Sus scrofa: one gene and its partners. The protein of the gene in region 1 purifies or fractionates together with the protein of each later gene. This does not show direct contact. Links are inferred from orthologs where the notes say so. Each region holds a gene or a part of one and is shown in the gene's direction. Other genes may lie near its edges.

Region 1 (5,162 bases):
TGATATCGTCTAAATTGGAGGGCCCCATGGTTCTCACTCACCATCTCACCCTGTGCCTTTTACAGAACTTATGACATTTTGTAATATTTTGTAATTATGATTGTTTCCTAGGTTATGATTTGCCTCTCCCAGTAAACTGTGAGCCTGACAAAGTCTTTTGGATCTTGCCTGCTGGTTCGCTGCTTTGTCCCAGTGTGGTGTCTTGGTGAGCAGACAGACTAGGATCTGTAACAAAGAGACCCCCAAATGCTCAGCGCAAATAATATGATTTGTTTCTCTCAAAGGTACTAGTGTGGGTGGTGATCCAGGCTGGCATTGTGCTTTGAGGGTGTTCTCAAGACCCGGGGCTCCCCAGACAACCTCCCTCCTCAGCCACACAGGCCACAACCTAAAAAACTCTCTTACCCAGAGCAATCTCACTCTTTTTGGCCTCAGGGCCTGGATCTAGTCTGCCCCAGATCTTTGTTCTCTCAACAAGAAGTTCATCCATGTGGCTTCCCCAACCACAGAGCAAGCTCCCTGAGATGAATTCAGTCACTCTCAGGGAATACAAGGCCACTGTGTGCAATTTCTCCCTTGTTGCTATTATTCAATATTAACTTTTTCTTTCTGTGGCTATAGTTTATCTATTCACATTCCTGACCTTTGGGCAAATGACTTCATTCTGTGCCCCAGTTTCCTCATCGGTAAAATGGGGATAACCAGTTTCTCAGGGTTGCAGTAAGGATCAAATGAGCACAAAGCTTTTAGAATTGAACCTAGCACACACTACATGTTGTTTAAATAATAATCAGCATGATCATCTCTTTTGATTCTCTCAACTTCCCCACGGGGTGAAGGGGTAGCCATGACTTCGTTTTCAGACACAAAATTAAGGGTCAGAAAGCCAAAGCCAGTGGCTTAAGGCCACAGCAAGGGCGGGAGTCTGGTTTTAACCCAGACCTCAACCTCAGTTACCTCCTGATGAAAGTGGGGTGATGATGGTACCCTCTGGAGGTATTAGGTTGTGAGAATCTAGTATCATCATGTAATCAAGGGACGGGCACGTGGAGGGCACTGTTCAAATGCCTGGGCCCTTTCCTTACAGTGCTGCACCCTGTCACACCGACGCTCTCACGGAGCCACTAGGGATCCCAGCTGCCCTGCTCCGGGCAGCCCTGGGGTCAGCTGCTTCTGTTTGATGGGCGGGGCAGCTGGGCCAACAGAGAAGCCCGTTGTCTCTGTCCTCTGGGGCTCAATTGTTGGCGCTCCTACCAGTGTCCACCCCCAAGACACTCTCAGCTGTCAGCGGGGCTTGTCTTGGCTTCCCGAGGTGGGGGAGGGGGGGTGTGCAGATAAACAACTGTACTCTGAAGACTGGATCACCAGCCTGGTTCTACCGATAAGGACACTGAGGCTTAGGGAGCCTAAGTGACTACGTGGGGAGCGAGCGCTTGTCGCTTGTCAGAACTACCAAGGATGGGGCTGGGGAGTTGCGAGGGGATGTTCCTCAAGTCAGAGAGGTCGTGGATCTCATTAAGTCAGAGATGTCAGGGCCAGAACACACGGCCCCCACGCTCCCATTTTACTCGTGGAAACAGAGACCCCAGAGCGCAGACGCTTGACCAAGGTCACACAGCTCTGCTAGGAAGCCTGGCATTTCTATCTCTTAGGATCTTCCAGCTTTCACACAGCGCAGAAAGGACGAGCGGCCCAAGGCGGGGCATAACGTGGCCCCTCCCCAGGGCCGGGACCATGCTTTCCATTCCAACTGTGACGAGCTGCCCTCCCCCTAAGGGGCGTGGCTTATGAGCCAGGCGCGATCCCACTGGATATTTGTCCCCGGAAGGCGGAATTTCGCGCTTGATGGGAGTTGGGGGCGTGGCTGTTTCCCCCCAAGAGCTCCGCGCGGGACTCCAGCCCTCTGTGACGCAGCGCGGGTGGGGGCGGGGCGGAGCCAAGCCTTCGGAGCACCGCCCCTAGCGGAGGCGGCCGAGGCCGGGGGCGTGTCCTGGGCGGGGCGGCCCCGGCGGCCCCGCCCCGCCCGGTTGAGGAGCAGTGGCCGCGCAGGGAGGGCCAGGTCCCGGGATGTGAGTGTGGCGGGGGTGGGGTCGCGGGGTGGGGCGCTGGGCCAAGCCCTGAGGGTTCCCAAGGGTTCCTCTGGGTGGGAGTACCAATGCGCAGGCGGCTGGGAGAGCCCGCCAAGTCGGGCCCAGGTATGGAGGGCTACCGCTCGGGCCGCGTGTGCTCAGGCCGGCCCCGCATGTAGGGCCAGCCCCGCGCCACTAATCTGCGGCCTCTGGAACCGGCGCCGGCCCGCGACGCGCGCGGGTCTGACGTCTGCCCTCGGGCTCCACTGGCTGTGCGGAGGCCCCCGCAGTGGCAGCAGGGTTTCTTTTCCCTGTGTCGCAGCGGCCGGGGAGGTGTGTGTCTGGTGGGGGTGAGCTGCGCGGCGGGGCCGAAGTGACCCCCATTCCTAGCTCTGGGTTGGGCCGCAGCCAGCGGGAGCCGCGACCTGCTGTTTCTTGGAACTGCCACCACCAGCTCTCAGATATAGGGCGCTTTCTGTGCTCGGTCGTTAGACGCATTATCTCAAGCCTCCCTACAGCCACACATTTTACAGTTGAGGAAAGCGAGGCCTAAAGCCACACAGCTGTTGGCTGTTTTGTTATCGTGTAGAGGTGAGGCTCTGAGGCCTTATAGCCAGACACACCTGGGTGCACATCCGCTGCTCCACAGGCCCTGTGTGATCTTGGACACACCTGGTCCCCTCTCCCGCCTCTGCTGGGATGGTGGTGCCTACATACTACAGGGGCGGCTGCGAGGACTGGGCTGGAGAGTGCGCAAGCTCAGGGAGGAGCTCTATTATTATTGTTGCTGCTGTTGCTAAGTGGCCCTTTTTCTGCCGCTGAGGGAGCTGCGGGACTGGATCAGGACTGTCTGTTCAATCAGAGCCTGCTGGTGCAGAAGGGGAGGCAGTTTCCCACACTGAGATTGTCCCTGTCTGTGTGTGTCTGTCTCTCTGCTCATGGAAGGCCACACACAACCCAGCTGTACCAGCATGTGCCGGAGACGCGCTGGCCCATTGTGTACTCACCGCGCTACAACATAACCTTCATGGGCCTGGAAAAGCTGCACCCCTTTGATGCAGGAAAATGGGGCAAAGTGATCAGCTTCCTCAAAGGTATGGAAGGCCCCACTTGCACCCTGCATCTGCTTCCTCCAACCCACCTGCCACCCCCCCACCCCCCGCCGTCTTTCCCAAACACCGGCTTCCAAGCCTCCCACCTGCAATGTCAGCCCTCAGGCTGCCTCCCACCTGTGCTGTCAAAAGGATGTTTCCAACACCAATTTCTAAGCAGGCTATGCCCCTGTATCACACCTGCACTGGCTCCCTATGGCTGGGGGCCTGAAGCCAGTCTCTGCCCCTGGAGGCCCAGTAGCGGGAAAGCTGTTTACCATGGGCCCAGGGAAGCTGCCATTTGGAGGAATGCACTGTCAGTAACCCACAGGCTCCTAGAGTCCAGGAGGTGGACCACCTTTGCTCTGACCCCACTGATTACAAGTGGAGAAAACTGGGGCCTAGGAAGGTTAGAAAACGTGCCCAAAGACACACAGCTCTTAAGTGGGAGAATGGAGTCTGGAAATCAGAGCTCCAGACGCCTCCCCTTCACTCTTCAAACTGCGATTTGTAATCCAGGTGTCTGGTTAAGGTGGAGACAGTTCAGGCGTCATAGTACTCTGGTGAAAAGACTATTCTAGCTCCCTGTATTGAGGTTTCTTTAACTGAAGGAGGTAGGAAATGTTACCTGAAGTGCTACCTGCATAGGGTGAAGTATTGAGTATCTTTAAATCACACAATCCTGATTACACCATGGGGAAAGTTTCACTTTGGAGCTTGTCCAACTTTAATACGTCAGAGCATCTCCCTTTTTAACCAGTCTAGAACAAACCCCAGCGTCTGCACCTTGTAGAAAATAGAATCAAACCAGAGATTAATAACACTTACTTGTTTCTGTATTTCTATTTTTGGTCAACTTCTGTTTATGGCAAGCGGTAGTGATTTTCCATTTGCAATAGTGACCAGAGTCTTCAAAGAAAAATACTAAGCAGAAACGAGTACAGCAGCGTGCAGCCATGGCGAGAGCTGTGGCAGGGTGAGCGCAACCAGCCCGCCTCACCCCGGGTATTCTCTGGCCTTCCTGAACGTGGTCCTTTGTGCTCTGCTGCCAGCCGGCCCAAGTCACTCCCCCCATTGCCCCTTCTTGGGTTCCTGTGTCACCCAGTAGCTTGACCAAAGGTTTCCTTGTCCCCTCCCCCTCCTCTGAGCTGACTGTCTTCCTGAGCTCCTTCCTTTCTCCTCTGAGGCTGTGGGTAGAAAGGAGGCAGGGCCACATGGGGAAGGTCTTAGGGTGCCAAGGAAAGAGCTGGCTCTTTGCAGCCATGGAATGGTTGGGGGGGGGGGATACCTGCTATATGTGATGCTATTTGTCGAAAATGTATGGAGCTAGCTGGTTTCTACCAGGGTTGGTTTCTAAAGGTAACACAAGCAAACAGGTCCCCTACATTCTGACCTTGTCCTTTGATTTTGCTAGAGCCAGAGCATCATGCTCTTGTCGTTGCTATGCCCTTGAACACTTCCTTCTTTCTGCTTCAGTGTCTTTTTTGCCAAATGGAGCAAGTCTTGTCTGGTGTGTGTGTGGGGGGGGTGATGAAATAACCAAGAGTTTCCCAAACATCAGTTGTTTGCAGATCACTCTTGGGGACTTGCCATGGCCTCACACTGCCTGTTCTGTTATTGACTTCGTAGTTTTTATTGGCTCAGCCTTTTTTTTCTTTTTAGGGCCATACCCACGGCATATGGAAGTTCCCAGGCTAGGGGTCGATTCTGAGCTGCAGCTGCTGGTCTACAGCCACAGCAACACAGGATCTGAGAGCAGTCTGTGAGCTATACCACAGCTCACAGCAAGGCCAGATCCTTAACCCACTGAGCAAGACCAGGGATCGAACCCACATCCTCATGGATACTAGTTGGGTTCTTAACCCTCTGAGCCATGATGGGAACTCCAGCCTTTGTTTTTAAAAACTTAAACTTGTATTTAAAGGAAACATTATGTCATATCAATGGAAAAAAGCCACTTTTATTTGCCATAAATAGAAGTTCATGGTAAAAAATAAATGCA
Region 2 (4,699 bases), on another chromosome or scaffold:
AAATGGTATTCCTGCTCAAATGCAGTGGCAAAGTTCAACTTGCATCTCATCACACAGTGCTTTTTCTTGAGGCAACCATTGCATTTGAGTATGCCCCAGAAGTACTTTATGCATGCTTCCATTTTGATTTACAGAATATTAAAAAGATACGTCCTCAGGATCAAGATTTAATAAAATTTTGCATTGCTTCATTAAGAAACGTGAGTGAAACTGGATGTTTTTATTGCCACTGCATGTTAGCAAAGAAGCTACTACTGCTTCTGTGGTCATATCCCTGTTATGACTCAGACTGAAATATCAGCAGTTTTACCAACCCCTGTTTTTACTTCATTTTGTAAATATCAATGGTAAAGTGTGTGTAACATGTTAATAGTGTGATGGAAGCAGTTTTGGCTTATAGCTGTCTAAAAGTGTTCGAGAGACCTCTAAGGGTTGATGGACTATACTCTTAAGAACCATTGCTTTGGTGTAACTTTTCTTCACTTTAGGAAGATATAGGAGTTGTCATAAATAGCAGTAGCTAAGAAAGATGTAAACTGTAGCTATTTTCCTCTGTCTTTTAAGTTTGGTTTCTTAACTCTAGACTTTTTTGAAATGTATAAGGGATATAAACATCTAATTAAGGGATGTTTTTAAGGTAAAGAGTACTATTTATGTAATCTTGAGTTTTAAGGTTATTCACAAATATGACAAAATAATTGTGAATTAACAAGTCCTTTCTTTGTCAATAATACCATGAATTCCTTTACATTTTGTTCATTCAGTTCTTGAATACCTCTGTGAGAGTTATCATTGAATATTACCTTTAATAGATTAATTGACTGTGTCCTTTCCAGAATCGTACAGTGGAAATAGATTTATGATTTGGTTTGAGACCACAGTGCTCGTTATAGTACTCCTTAACCACCAGCCCTTGATATGTGTCATAATATTTATGAGAGCCTAAATTCCAGAGTTGGATGAAATTAGATTGAAAGCCCTGCTTCTGCATTTAATAACTTTGTGACACTTTGTTATTTAGCCTCTCCATTCCTTAGTGTCCTCATCAGTAATAGCATTTACTTTATAGAATTGCATTAAATGAAACATACCTTGTGAAACAGACTTCAGTATGCCTAGTACATACTAGTGTAGTGTATGTGAAGTGTTCTTTTCTTTTTTTACTTATTTGCTACCACTGCTTTCCTCACTGTCTTAAATATTCCTTCATTTCTTGTCATTTTGTTTCTCCTATGTTCCCTTTCCTCTTTTCATTTCATTCTTTAAGGGAGGATTTTACTAGTTAAGTAGATAGTGCAAATAGGATAAGCCCTTGTACATTTATCAGACCATCTGTTGATTTCAGAAAGAATGGAAGTTAGGGACAGATCTGCATTAGATCTACCTTAATTTAAGTATGTGGAGTAAAATGAAAACACCGTATTTTATATGTGCCATGTATTGTTCAGAATTTCAATTATTGATTCCAACGTCTTGACTCTTTCTTATTATATTTAAAAAATGTCCTCTTAGAATCCAGAACAGTTGATCTTTCAACAGACAGAGAGGATGGAATACATCATTCTTCAGAAAGCAAAGATGATCAGAGTTCATCTTCCAACAGCTCTAGCTCTCTGGAAGAAGAAGAAGAATTTTTATCAACAGGTTGGTAATTTTGGTTAAGAACTTTATTTCTAATACTAGTATTTTATGCTAGTGATTGTTATTATTGGTAAACTCCAGTGAAGTCTAAGGCAAGTAAGTCATTAATGATTGTCAAAGTGCCAAAATTGATTGCTCATTCCCATTGTGTAACATGCCGAAGGTCTGATGGCTTATAGGAGGCATAGCTAGGATTCAGACCCAGGCAATCCTCTCCAGAGGCAATGTTCTTAACTACTGTGCTATACTAGCTGATTCATGCCCTTGTCTGAAAGGTGTTAAGAATTTGTGAGGCTGTTTCAGGTACAGAATGTAGCATATGTAAAACTCTAGAGAAGATAGCATCGCATGTGAAAATTAAAAGTAGTTGTTGGACAGAAAATACTTGATTCAAGTTTAAAAAAGAGCAAAATGAACGCAGAGGAACAAATTAGAGTCAGATAATAGGTTTTGAGGGAACTGCTGAAAATGTTATGCGAAGCGATGACATGACCATTTTTGTGTTTTACAGAGATAAGCCCAATCCAGGGGTTGGCAGGTTACCTCCTGTGAGCCACATCTGGCCCATTATCTGCTTTTGTGAATTAAGTTTTATTAAAGCCATGCTTATTCAGTTATGTATTATCTGTGGCTGTTTTTGCACTATGATGGCACAGATGAGAAGACTTTACGACTTTATGGCCCAAAAAGCTGGAAATATTTACCTGACCTTCTACTCTAGCTCAAGTGTTGTTAACTTGTCTTGTGCTGTGGACTCTCTTCAGTTTCAGGAAGCCTAGACCTCTTCTAAGAAAAATGAACTACAAACTGCATTGCTTTATAAAGAAAACAAGTTAATTTGAAATGTAATTATTAAAATATATTTTTAAGGATTCGTAATACAGTAGTAAGCATTTTATTAACATATGACATAGTAGGAACCAGATGATTTGTCTGAAGTTCACAAGCTACAGGAGTACTTAGGGATGAAGCCAATATAAAGAATTAAAGCCTAGTGGACAAACGAAGCTTTGTCTAGACTGTAGATACAGTGCTGTCCAAGTCCCAGAGAACTCTTTGTGAAGGTTCTATATCTTCACTTTCTAGTACATTAGCCACTAGCCACATGTGGCTATAGACTTTTGAAATGTGATAGTGTGGCTAAGGAGCTGTGTTTTTAAATTTAAATACTCTCATATGGCTGGTCGTTACTATACTGAACAGTGCTGCTGTAGAAGATGGCAGATTAGATAATGTAAGGCAGTCATTGTAAAGTGTTGGTAGCACTGGGAATCTAAAGGAGAGAAGGCAATATTTGGGAGTTCCCATTGTGGCACAGCAGTAACAAACCCAACTAGTAACCAGTAACCAGGAGGATGCGGGTTGAATCCCTGGCCTTGCTCAGTGAGTTAAGTATCCGGCATTGCCATGAGCTGTGGTGTAGGTCACAGACGCAGCTCGGATCCTGCATTGCTGTGGCCATGGTGTAGGCTGGCAGCTGCAGCTCCAGTTCAGCTGCTAACCTGGGAACTTCCATATGCCACATGTGTGGCTGTAAAAAAAAAGCAAAAAAAAAAAAAAAAAAAAAAGACGATAGTCATACACGTTCATATACATTCTAAAAAAATCTATATTTTATATTCCCCTCCCCCATATTTGTGGTTGCCATAGGGTTCAAATATATTGATCCGTAACTATATCTATATGCTTTAAGATAATAAGTCATGCAAGTTCAAACATTCTAAAAACATATATTTTTATATTCCCCTCCCATATTTTGTGATTTTGATGTCCTATTGCTATATGAGAAATTTGCCAGTTTCCAGTTGGCTTTCTGTGAGGATTGTTCCACATGTAGATGTATTTTTGATGTGTTTGTGGGGGGAAATGAGCTCCATGCCTTCCTACTCTCCCATCTTCACTCCCTCCTGACCTCTGCCCCTAGATAGGACGACATGTGAAAATTATGTATGAGTTGTAAATCTGTGAAAACATAGTGTTTTCATTTTCATGAAGCAGTATGCTAACATTAATTCATCCCATGTTTGACCAGCATGTACTGTGTGGGAACCCTTGAGCTAGGTGTTGGATATAGATGGGACAGGATAGAAATCTCTTCTCTTTCTTGTTCGTTTCTTTTCTTTTTTTTTCTTTTTTGCTTTTTAGGGCTGCACCCATGGCATATGGAAGTTCCCAGGCTAGGGGTCGAATCGGACAGCTGCTGGACTTCACTGCAACCATAGCAACTGGGGATCCAAGCCATGTCTGCAACCTACACCACAGCTCATAATAACACTGGATCACCAACCCACTGAGCAAGGCCAAGGATCATACCCACACCCTCGTGGATACTAGTCAGATTTGTTTCCTCTGAGCCAAAGCAGAAACTCCCTGAACTTCTATTTATTTATTGTAACTTGAAAGAAGATTAGCTTTGTGTAACACTAGTATCTCACTAGTGAGTCCATTGCTTGTGATTCATCACTTAAACCCCACCAAGTCAGTCGCAGATAGAAGTTCAAGTATTTCTGTTTCTGTGTTCATACACTTGATTATTTGAACTTAACGTGTATCATCTTAACCCTGGTGGCACGTTAAAATCTCTTAGGGGGCTATAAAAACATACTTCTGGGAGTTCCCATCGTGGCACAGCAGAAATGCATGCAACTAGTATCCATGAGGATGAGGATCCATGAGGCCAAGGGATCCCTGGCCTTGCTCAGTGGGTCAGCGATCCAGCATTGCCATGAGCTGTGGTATAGGTGCCATTCGTGGCTGGGATCCCAAGCTGCTGTGGCATAGGCTGGCAGCTATAGCTCACATTCAACCCCTAGCCTGGGGAGTTCCATATGCCATGGGTGTGGCCCTAAAAAGCAAAAAAAAAGAAAAATACTGTTGCTCATCTCTGCCTCAGAACAACTGAATCTAAATCTCTGGAATGGGAGCCTAGTTGTCATTATCAGCCTTCCCGGGTGATTCTAACATGTAGCCAGGGTCAAGCAATGCTAACTTAACCTGTTGTGGTGGTTTTGAATTTTAATTCCGCTTTAGATTAATACTAGCTATACCTCCTAGCTTT
Region 3 (4,699 bases), about 130 Mb from region 1:
ACACAGGTAATTTATTATTATCTATGAAAGGTGTTTTGAAATTATTTTATCTTCTCTCCCTTTGAAAATGAGCAAAAATTGAGAGAATGAGTAGTTAGGAGCCAGTCAGAAAATCTGATTCTCCCACTTGGGCCATCTGATCCTTTGTCACCTGAAATATACAGCATTTGAGAGAGTAGTTTTTAGTTTTAAAATCTCTGTGGAAGGGTGACGGTATTAGCCCTTCATTTATGCCATTTGTCGCCCTGCTCATCACCCTACCCCCGTTCTCAATCGGACTAATCAGACCTCCCTCGAAGAAATGTATTTTTTAGGAAAAAGAACCTAAGACTACTAGAATGGGTAACGACTGACGATATAAATAAGGAAACATTTCAGTAATGTTTAAAACCACTAGGTATTGTTTTATACCTAGTTTCCAAAGTTCAAACTGCTGTCCCAGTGGACATTCTTAGGAGCTGTTTAGACATGGGAAAGTTCTCTTTATCATTGTTTTGTTTTCATTGACCTCATTTTGGAAAAACCAGGGTGTAGGTCTGATCCTAAATCTTTATGTAGCAGAAAAGGGGTTGGACGATTTCTCAGTTGCTTTACTGCTTGATCGTTGATGTGAACTAAGAGTAGTATTAAAAACCTTAGGGCCTTTGGTGGGAAAGGTCAGACATTCGAAACTGTTCACTCAGAGTTGAGTACTCAATTACGTGACTTGGAATATAGCTTATCTTTATTTCCTATAACCTAACTTTGCCCATAACCCTTATTAAAATGCATGGTCTATTTTTAACTTTTTAGGTGTACCTTAAAGCACTTTTATTGAGAATGAGGAGAACTTTAGATGATGATGTATTCATGCCCTTATATCCCAAAAAGTAAGTAACTCCTGAGAACATTAAAGGTGATAGTATTCCGCATTCTCTTTCAGAGAAGGCTTATTAAATTCTGGGAAAACGAAGTATATGTAGCATGAAATACAGACCTTGCCTACGTAGGGTAAGCCTGTAGCCCAGAGAGACTGGCTCAGTGGGGAAGTCGTTCCCTTAAGCAGGGAAAAGCACACAGTGCTTTCTGTTGTCCCCTACCATCTCAGAGTAAATGATTATCCTCTGGAATACAGTTGTTCGGAAATTGAAAAAAATTAGCTCTTTCTTTTGTTCACCTCTTTTACATAGAGAAAGAAATCTTCTAGGAATTAGATGGCACATGAACATATAAAACATTTCATCATGACGTCTTTTTCTTTTTTTCTTAGTGTCTTAGAAAATAAAAATTCTGGGCCTTATTTGTTTTTTCAACGACAGTTTTGGTCTTCAGTTAAGGTACGTGTCTGTGGGCTGTCTAAAAGACTTGAGATTTTGTTTGATTTTCATATATTATTTTAATATTTGGTTAAGTAATTTCATAGGCTTAGATCTATGTCTATATAAAGTTTCCATTTTACAAACTAACTTTATTCCAAAAGTTGATTTGGGTTTGAGGTTTGTAGAGGAGAAAATTCTGAGTTCCATTAAGGAGCAGACGAGACAACACAGTGCCTTACTAAAGCACAGTTATTTTATTCAGCAAGTAGGGTACCAGGTCCTCTTCTAAGTTGGGAGGACCTAGCACTGAGCAAGGTAGAAGTAGAGCCTTCACAGTTGTTTATCGTCCAGCACAATGAACAGATGGCAAACCAGGAATCTCAGGTATGATGAATTTTGAAAAAAGGAATTCAGAGTTTATGGAAGCATATGACAAGGGGTGTAGGAGATTCCTTTCCACCCCGAGAAAGTAATATTTGGGTTGTTAGACCAGCTGAAGAAATGAGTCTTTGGCCCTGAGGTGAGGGAGAGCAGGATATACTAGAACCGAGAGAAGTCTAGAATGGCTAGAGTTAGGGAAGGGACGAGGAGTCTGGATGATAGATAGGGAGCTGTGATTTACATACAGACGTGTCATCACTACCCAGATCAAGATGTGTGACACTTCCATCCTCTCCCCCAAAGCCCCCGTGCCCCTTTGCAGTCAATCCCATCCCTACACTTTGGCTACCACCCCACCGCCTTTTTTTTTTAATTTTATGGCTGCACCATGGCCCATGGAAGTTCCTGGGCCATGGATTGAATCCGAGCCACAGCTGCAACCTATCCTGCAGCCGTGGCAATGCTGGATCCTTTTAACCCACTGTGCTGGGCCAGGGATTAAATCTGTGCCTCCACAGTGACCTGAACCACTGCAGTCAGATTCTTAACCCCCAGTGCCACAGCTTTTTATTGTCCTGTAGTTTTCTTTGTAAGACCATCTTAGAAACGGAATTGTATGCCATCTAGCCTTTTGAGTCTGGCTTCATTCACAACATAATGCATTTGTGGTTTATCAGTGTTGTCGTGCTTTCATTCCGTTTTATTGCTACATGGTATTCAAGTGTATGGTGGGTATACCATAGGATTTTTGGTTTGGATTTTTATCCAAACCCCAGTTGAGAGATGTTGCACTGTTTCCAGTTTGGAGTAATTATGAATAACCCGTTTGTGTACAGGTTTTTTGGGTATGTACATTTCGGTTCACTTGGGTAAACGCCTGGGCAAGACTGTTTTCTGGACCGACAGTGCATTCGTGTTCTAGTTCATCTTCTTTCTCACCACTCACCACACTTGGTATCTTCAGGGGTTTTATTTTTTTTTTTAAGTTTTTTACTGGGTGTATAGTTGTGTTTGCGGTTTTAATTTGTATTTCCCTAATGACTGATGACGCTGAGCATGTTTTCATGTGCTTATTTACCATTTGTATATCTTTTTTGGTGAAGTACCTATTCAGATCTGTGGCTCATTTTTAAAAATTAGGCTTTCTTTCCTTTTTTGTTTATTTTTTTTGCAGAGAGTGCACATTTTAATGAAACCACCATGCTTACTATTTCCAGATTCTTCGTACATTTAAAATCAGATAGACTGAATAAACTACTTATTTTCTTTTCAATGTTTTGCAGTCACAAAATAGTATCACTCTTCTCTACTACTGCATAGGAAATTCTGGAAAGATAGCAGCATGTTATTTTCGGCCTAAAAATATGCTCTTCTCAAATACAGTGATAAAGCAATAGAAAGTGAAAATTATAGCAAGAGGAAGAAGAGCACCTATAAACGTGCATGGAATACACCTATACCAAACCATCAAATTGGGTTTTCTTATTACTGAGCTTTGGTGTATGTATTCTTGATATAAGTACTTCGTCACAGACATGATTTGCAAAGAGTGTTCCCCCCAGGCCGTGGCTTGTCTTCATCCTTTTTCCAAGTGCAGAGGTTCTTCATTGTGATGAAGTCCCGTTTATTACTTTTTCCTGTTTTGGATCGTGCTTTAGGTGTCATATCTAAGAAGTCTTTGCCTGACACAGGGCCGCAAAGTTTGTCTCCTGTCCTTTCTTCTGGGTGTTTCATGAGTTTAGGTTTTTACATTTACGTCTGTGATGGATTTTGAGTACATTGTTACAGAGGGCGTGAGGCCTCGATTGCTGTTTGTTTGTCCTAGTGTGGTTTGTTGAGAAGACTTTTTTTTTTTTTTTTTTAATTAAATTCCTTTTGTACTTTGAAAATCAGCTGACCTTATGTGGGTCATGGAAGGTTTTTAGTACTTTGCCATTTTTAAGATCATCTGGCTGCTCTGTGAGGGTAATGGATTGACGTAGGTAAAAATAGTAGTAGTGAGAGTGAGAATTAGTGTTTATTACATATTCACTGCGTGCCAAGCACCGTACCACACCCTTAATATAGGTTATCTTGTTGAATCCTCACAATAGGCCTGTGAGCTTGACATAATTGCTCTCACTCTGCAGAGGCACAGGATAACCTGCCAGGCTCCTCCTCTGTTTAGTGGGAGAGATGGGAGTCTCACTCAAGCCAGTCTGACGCTGGAGCGGCTCTTCTTCACTGGGGTTTTCTGAGAGAATTCATACTCGATACCCTATGGCTTCCAATATGTATGCATCTAGAATGGTTCTAGCTTGTGCTATCCCTGGGAGAATTAAGTAAGGACTCAGCTCATTTTCTGTAGGCTTCAGTTCTCTCAAAGAACTGTGCGTGAGAAAAACTCTACCAGAGCTCCTGCTCACCGCCACTGGAGTAACTGCAGGGTCTGGAGGAGACGGTGGCAGCTGAGATGGGGGGTGACGGTGGGAGTCCAGAGATGTATGGGGGAGGGGTCAGGAATGGCAAGCAGGCTCTGGCCTGATTGGATAGATAGTGTTGCCATTTCCTTGAGATGAGAAATACTGGGAACTTAGGCATGTTTATGGTGGAGTGGGCTGGGGTTTCCACTTTATGTGTATTGAGGTTAAGTAGCTTCTGATGTCTGGTTGATGAGGTCTGGTAAAGGTGCGATGTGGTTCGAAAAGAAATCTCCAGGAGTTCCCATCCTGGCTCAGTTGTTAATGAATCCGACTAAAAACCATGAGGTTGCAGGTTCAATCCCTGCCTTGCTCAGTGGGTTAAGGACCTGGCGTTGCCGTGAGCTGTGGTGTGGGTCGCAGACGAGGCTTGGATCCCGAGTTGCTGTGGCTCTGGCGTAGGCCAGCGGCTGCAGCTCCATTCGACCCCTAGCCTGGGAAGCTCCATATGCCTCGGGAGTGGCCCAAGAAATGGCAAAAAGAAAAGAAAAAGAAAAGAAAAGAGATCTCCATCTTCTGTGGGAGCCATAGGGACTGGTCGAGGCATGATTTTCAAGGAGG
Region 4 (4,699 bases), on another chromosome or scaffold:
TTAAAGAAATGTTCGTTTTTGTTGGTTAAGCATTTTTGGAAAGTTAGACATTTTATTCATTACTTTTGAAATTTTTAGATTACGTTCGTGTGATGGATATGGGGCTTTTGGAATTAACCATAACTGCAGTAAAGTCTGATTCTGATGAAGAGCAAGTAAGTTATTAAAATAAACAGGTTTTTTTGTTTGTTTGTTTTTTGTCTTTTTAGGGCCACACCCACAGCATATGGAAGTTCCCAGGCTAGGGGTCCAGTCAGAGCTCTAGCTGACACTCCATGACGACTGCATGACCACTGCAATGCAGGATCCAAGCCACGTCTTCGGCTACGCCACAGCTCACAGCAACGCTGGATCTTAACCCACTGAGTAAGGCCAGGAATCAAACCCGAGTTGTCATGGATGCTAGTCGTGTTCGTTACTGCTGAGCCACTGTGGGAACTCCTAGACCTATTTTTTTTTAATGGAAGAGAATGAAAACATACTAAACTTACTGTGTAATTATTTTTACACTTACCTAACTTTGGTCAGAAATAGGTAAAATATTTTAAAATTAAGACTGAGCTATTATAAATACTTATTTCCTTTAGCAAGACAAATTACCATGTTTCATTTAATGTAAACTTATGCAGAAATTTTTTTCCTCTTGTTCTGGAAAACATTTTTATCCTTTTTTCCCATATCCTGTCCAGACTGAGCCACGCTTTGAGTTACACTGTTCGAGTGACGTTGTCCATATTAGAACATGCTCAGACTCTTGTGCTGCGTTAATGAATCTCATTCAGTATATTGCAAGCTATGGGGACTTACATGCGGCTAACAGGGCGGACATGAAGCCTGGAGCCCCTCAAAGAAAGATGAAGGTACAGCTGCCAACCTACTCCTCAGAACTCACTCAGCCCCACCCCATGCCAGCCACATGAGTGGCATGTTTGCGTCATTGAGGTCTGCTTGAGAGTCATAGGATGGAAGGGAACCTTTGAGCAATCATCTGTCTGTTCCTTACTTTCAGAGTGGTGGAGTCTGGAAAGGTGATTCCGTGGGCCTTTTTGGAAAACTGTTTTACTCTTTGATATTCTTTGTTTCAGGACGTTAATCTTCTCAATCAATGTACGTTTTCCCAGACTTAAATTATTTTCATGTGTCCTCAGGGAAGGAAGAAAATATTTTATCATGTGACAGCCTGTTGTATTACAAGTTGTATATAAAAGATGCTGTAAGAAGATAGACAGCAGGAATTAAGATTATTACCAAGGACTTATTTTATATAATATCATCTGTATTTGTTATCTAGCGCACCATCCAGTTTTGAGTGTACTTTCTCATATGTGATGCCTTTTACCCAGGGCGCTAGAGAGGTTAAACATGGCCATCTCTCTTTTGCAGATGAATGTGGTAAGACCCAGAGAACTTAGGTGACTTGTCCTAGTTAGTAGCAGACTCAGCAGCAATCCCCAGATATTTTGATTCTCAGTTCAGTGCTTTCTTATGGCCCCATCTGTCACCGCTCTGCCCTGTCTTGAACAATATGCAGTTTGTTTAGCATTTTCTATTTTTTCAGTGTTTTCATTCTTCTTCATGGCCTCTTCTGTGAAGAGATTTTTCGAACCGTTAGGTTAATGCAACCTCTGCTAAGGGACGGATAGGCCTTGCGTTGTCTGTCATTCAGGTTGATCTTACACCTCATTTGTGTTACACTTCTGTTTTTGTTTCCTCGCTCCTGCTACATTCTCCTTGGTAATAAAGTGATTTAATGACACACTTTCTCTCCTGTTGCTTCTTAAAAGTTATTTTAAATTATCCCTTTTTCTAATGGGATCTTTCCATTTTGGAGTCATGCTGATATTTTTTAAAGCCTGGTTTGGGTTTAATGAATCACAGTTCACTAACAAAAACGGTTAAGCATCTGTGATGGAATTGAAAGCCATGAATTACCATTTAGTAGATTTCCCCTCTTAGCTCTACCCCCTACTGTCTTTAAGTGTCTGTCTGTTCCACGAAATGAGGCTCTGACCTCCAGTGGCTTTGTCTCAGAGGGTGAAGGTCATGGCAACTATCAGATTTAAGCAGATCACACTCCCTTAGACAGATCTCCTCTCCTTCAGCTTTATTGCACTTTTTTCCACTTTCCTTCTCTACTCTTGTATTAATGTGTCAAGATTCCAGTTCACTCTGCTGGCTTTCAGATCAAAACACATTTATTCCTATTTTCCAGGAGTTGTTGGAAGTGAAAATGATGATACTAAAAACTTAAAATGAACGCAGCACATGTAACAGCTGCTGGGGGAGAATATAGAAAAATGAATATGTTCCTCTTTCTGGTTTTTTTATTTACTTACTTACTTACTTATTTATTTATTGTCTTTTTGCCTTTTTCTAGAGCCACTCCTGCGGCATATGGAGGTTCCCGGGCTAGGGGTCTAATTGGAGCTGTAGCTGCTGGCCTACACCACAGCCACAGCAATGTGGAAACTGAGCCGCATCTGCGACCTACACCACAGCTCACGGCAATGCCGGATCCTCAACCCCCTGAGCAAGGCCAGGGATCGAACTCACAACCTCGTGGTTCCTAGTTGTATTCGTTAACCACTGCACCACAACGGGAACTCTGCTGGTGTTTTTTAAATGTAGTGTATTTCTAGGACAAAATAATGTTAAGTAATTTGCTTCTTAGAGCATTTTTCAGTTGTTTTTAATGAAGTTTTTTGGCTGTAGGTAGATTCTAGTGGCCGATCATCCTCACGTGGTCCAGTACTTCCTGAAGCAGATCAGCAGATATTACGAGATTTGATGAGTGACGCTATGGAGGAGATTGATATGCAAGAAGCTGCTTCGTCTGTAAAACCACAGTCTAACGGTGAGACAGACCAGGACATTTTCTCTGGAAGCTGTGAATTTGTAGTGGAGGCTTATATTTTTTGTGTTCTTACAAATTCTTCAATAAGTAACTTATCAAAGAAAAAAACAAGCCTGAGCTTTGGTGGATGTTTTAGTCAAACAGCCCGTGTTTAGTGAGTGTCTAGTAGATAAATAATACTGGCCAGAATTGAAAATGTGCCAGAATTGAACCTTGGAATCTTTTTACCTAGGTGTTTTGGATGCGAAGTCTCAAATTCAGGAGCCGTGTTGTTCAGACCTCTTCCTGTTCCCAGATGAGAGTGGGAATGTGTCCCAGGAGCCTGGCCCCACCTATGCCTCATTCACTCACCACTTGACCAGTGATGCAATGACAGGCGCGCCCACAGAGAATGATGACTTTTGCATTCTTTTTGCACCAAAAGCAACCATTCAGGTAATAAATTGATAACAAAATTAAAGTCTTAAAATAGTATTACAATTGAATTGACCAATGGGCACCTGAAAAAGTTTCTCTGGATTTTGTAAACTGTACACTCTTCAGAATTTCTTCCTCTTGTAACTTACTGTTGATGCTTTGTAAATGTTCGAACTTGGCTCCTTTTTCTAAGTCCCTTAGAGACTTAGAAAAATGCTCTCTATTTGTAAAATCTCTGACATGGTTTCTTGAACTACAGAGATAGTATGTAGTAAGATACCTCTTCAGGGTAGTGAAATTAAACGGCAGAAAGAACTTCTGTACAGAGTTGTTACCTAAGAGTTGGGAAGGATAAGATGTACTTTGTGTGAAGGCTGATGGTTTCTTAATATATATAATTTCCATTTTAGCATCATGCTCACATTTAAAAAGCATGGTCTGGACTTAATGAATCCACAGTTCACTAAATAAAATGACTGGGCATTCAATCTGTATCTTTTTATTGGCAAACAAGTAGTAAAAGCCAAATTATAGACTGTAAAAAATTCTTATGGAGTAATTCACATAGAAGAGAGTTCATTTTCTAGTTAATAAAGCAAAACATCTTAAGTGACGATTAATGTATTTGTTATCCTACTTTATGTGTTGAAATTATTGGGAAGAATGCAAAATCAAGAAACCCCTTGGGGTACAGTGTAATTGGTGGTTTCTACTTAGATAAGAGAGTGTGTGCCGTCTGTGTCTTTGTCTTAGGAGAAGGAAGAAGAACCAGTTGTAAAAATAATGGTCGATGATGCAATCGTGATAAGAGATAATTATTTTAGTCTGCCTGTTAAGAAGACAGATACAAGCAAAGCCCCGTTACACTTTCCCATTCCTATAATTCGGTACGTGGTTAAAGAAGTCTCCCTTGTTTGGCATCTTTATGGAGGAAAAGATTTTGGAACAGCCCCTCCTACTTCTCCAGCTAAAAGTTTTATGTAAGTTAATTTCTACGTAAGTTTATTTGGTGGGCCAATATATTCTTTTCATAAAATATTACACAGAATTTATCCTTTAAATAATTCTTAATAAGTAGTATTAAAAACTGTAATTTAACTGTTCCTCTATTGAATAACTATACTCCATTGTATGGTTGATTTACAGTGCTGTGCTAATTTCTGCTGTACAGCAAAGTGATTCAGTTTTTTATACACACACACACACACACATACACACCCCCACACACACTCTTTTTAAAAAAATATTCTTTTCCGTTGTGGTTTATCATAGGACATTGAATGTAGTTCTCTGCTGAACAGTAGGGCCTTGTTTAGTCCCTTCATGTGTAATAGCTTCTACCTGCTAACCCCGGCCTCCCACTCCATCCCTACCTCAACGCACTCCCTTTGGCAACCACAAGTCTGTCCTCCTTGTCTGTGAGTCTGT

The links.
Region 2: the proteins of HDAC11 (region 1) and GCFC2 purify together in Homo sapiens (co-immunoprecipitation; 3 studies listed by BioGRID and IntAct, counting the BioPlex papers as one, with this or other methods). This does not show direct contact. The link is inferred for Sus scrofa from reciprocal best matches to the Homo sapiens genes HDAC11 and GCFC2.
Region 3: the proteins of HDAC11 (region 1) and PAXBP1 purify together in Homo sapiens (co-immunoprecipitation; 3 studies listed by BioGRID and IntAct, counting the BioPlex papers as one, with this or other methods). This does not show direct contact. The link is inferred for Sus scrofa from reciprocal best matches to the Homo sapiens genes HDAC11 and PAXBP1.
Region 4: the proteins of HDAC11 (region 1) and ATG2B purify together in Homo sapiens (co-immunoprecipitation; 3 studies listed by BioGRID and IntAct, counting the BioPlex papers as one, with this or other methods). This does not show direct contact. The link is inferred for Sus scrofa from reciprocal best matches to the Homo sapiens genes HDAC11 and ATG2B.

The regions. Positions count from the first base shown.
Region 1 is NC_010455.5:70,876,664-70,881,825, reverse strand, and holds the start of HDAC11 (histone deacetylase 11), read left to right. Parts: upstream 1-1,962; 5' UTR 1,963-2,067; coding exon 2,068-2,069; intron 2,070-2,105; exon of another isoform or gene 2,106-2,195; intron 2,196-3,014; coding exon 3,015-3,163; intron 3,164-5,162. UniProt on the Homo sapiens protein: Responsible for the deacetylation of lysine residues on the N-terminal part of the core histones (H2A, H2B, H3 and H4).
Region 2 is NC_010445.4:67,550,008-67,554,706, forward strand, and holds part of GCFC2 (GC-rich sequence DNA-binding factor 2), read left to right. Parts: intron 1-1,512; coding exon 1,513-1,644; intron 1,645-4,699.
Region 3 is NC_010455.5:196,343,287-196,347,985, reverse strand, and holds part of PAXBP1 (PAX3- and PAX7-binding protein 1), read left to right. Parts: coding exon 1-6; intron 7-792; coding exon 793-869; intron 870-1,249; coding exon 1,250-1,316; intron 1,317-4,699. UniProt on the Homo sapiens protein: Adapter protein linking the transcription factors PAX3 and PAX7 to the histone methylation machinery and involved in myogenesis.
Region 4 is NC_010449.5:117,534,302-117,539,000, reverse strand, and holds part of ATG2B (autophagy-related protein 2 homolog B), read left to right. Parts: intron 1-78; coding exon 79-155; intron 156-689; coding exon 690-860; intron 861-2,712; coding exon 2,713-2,854; intron 2,855-3,086; coding exon 3,087-3,289; intron 3,290-4,024; coding exon 4,025-4,251; intron 4,252-4,699. UniProt on the Homo sapiens protein: Lipid transfer protein required for both autophagosome formation and regulation of lipid droplet morphology and dispersion.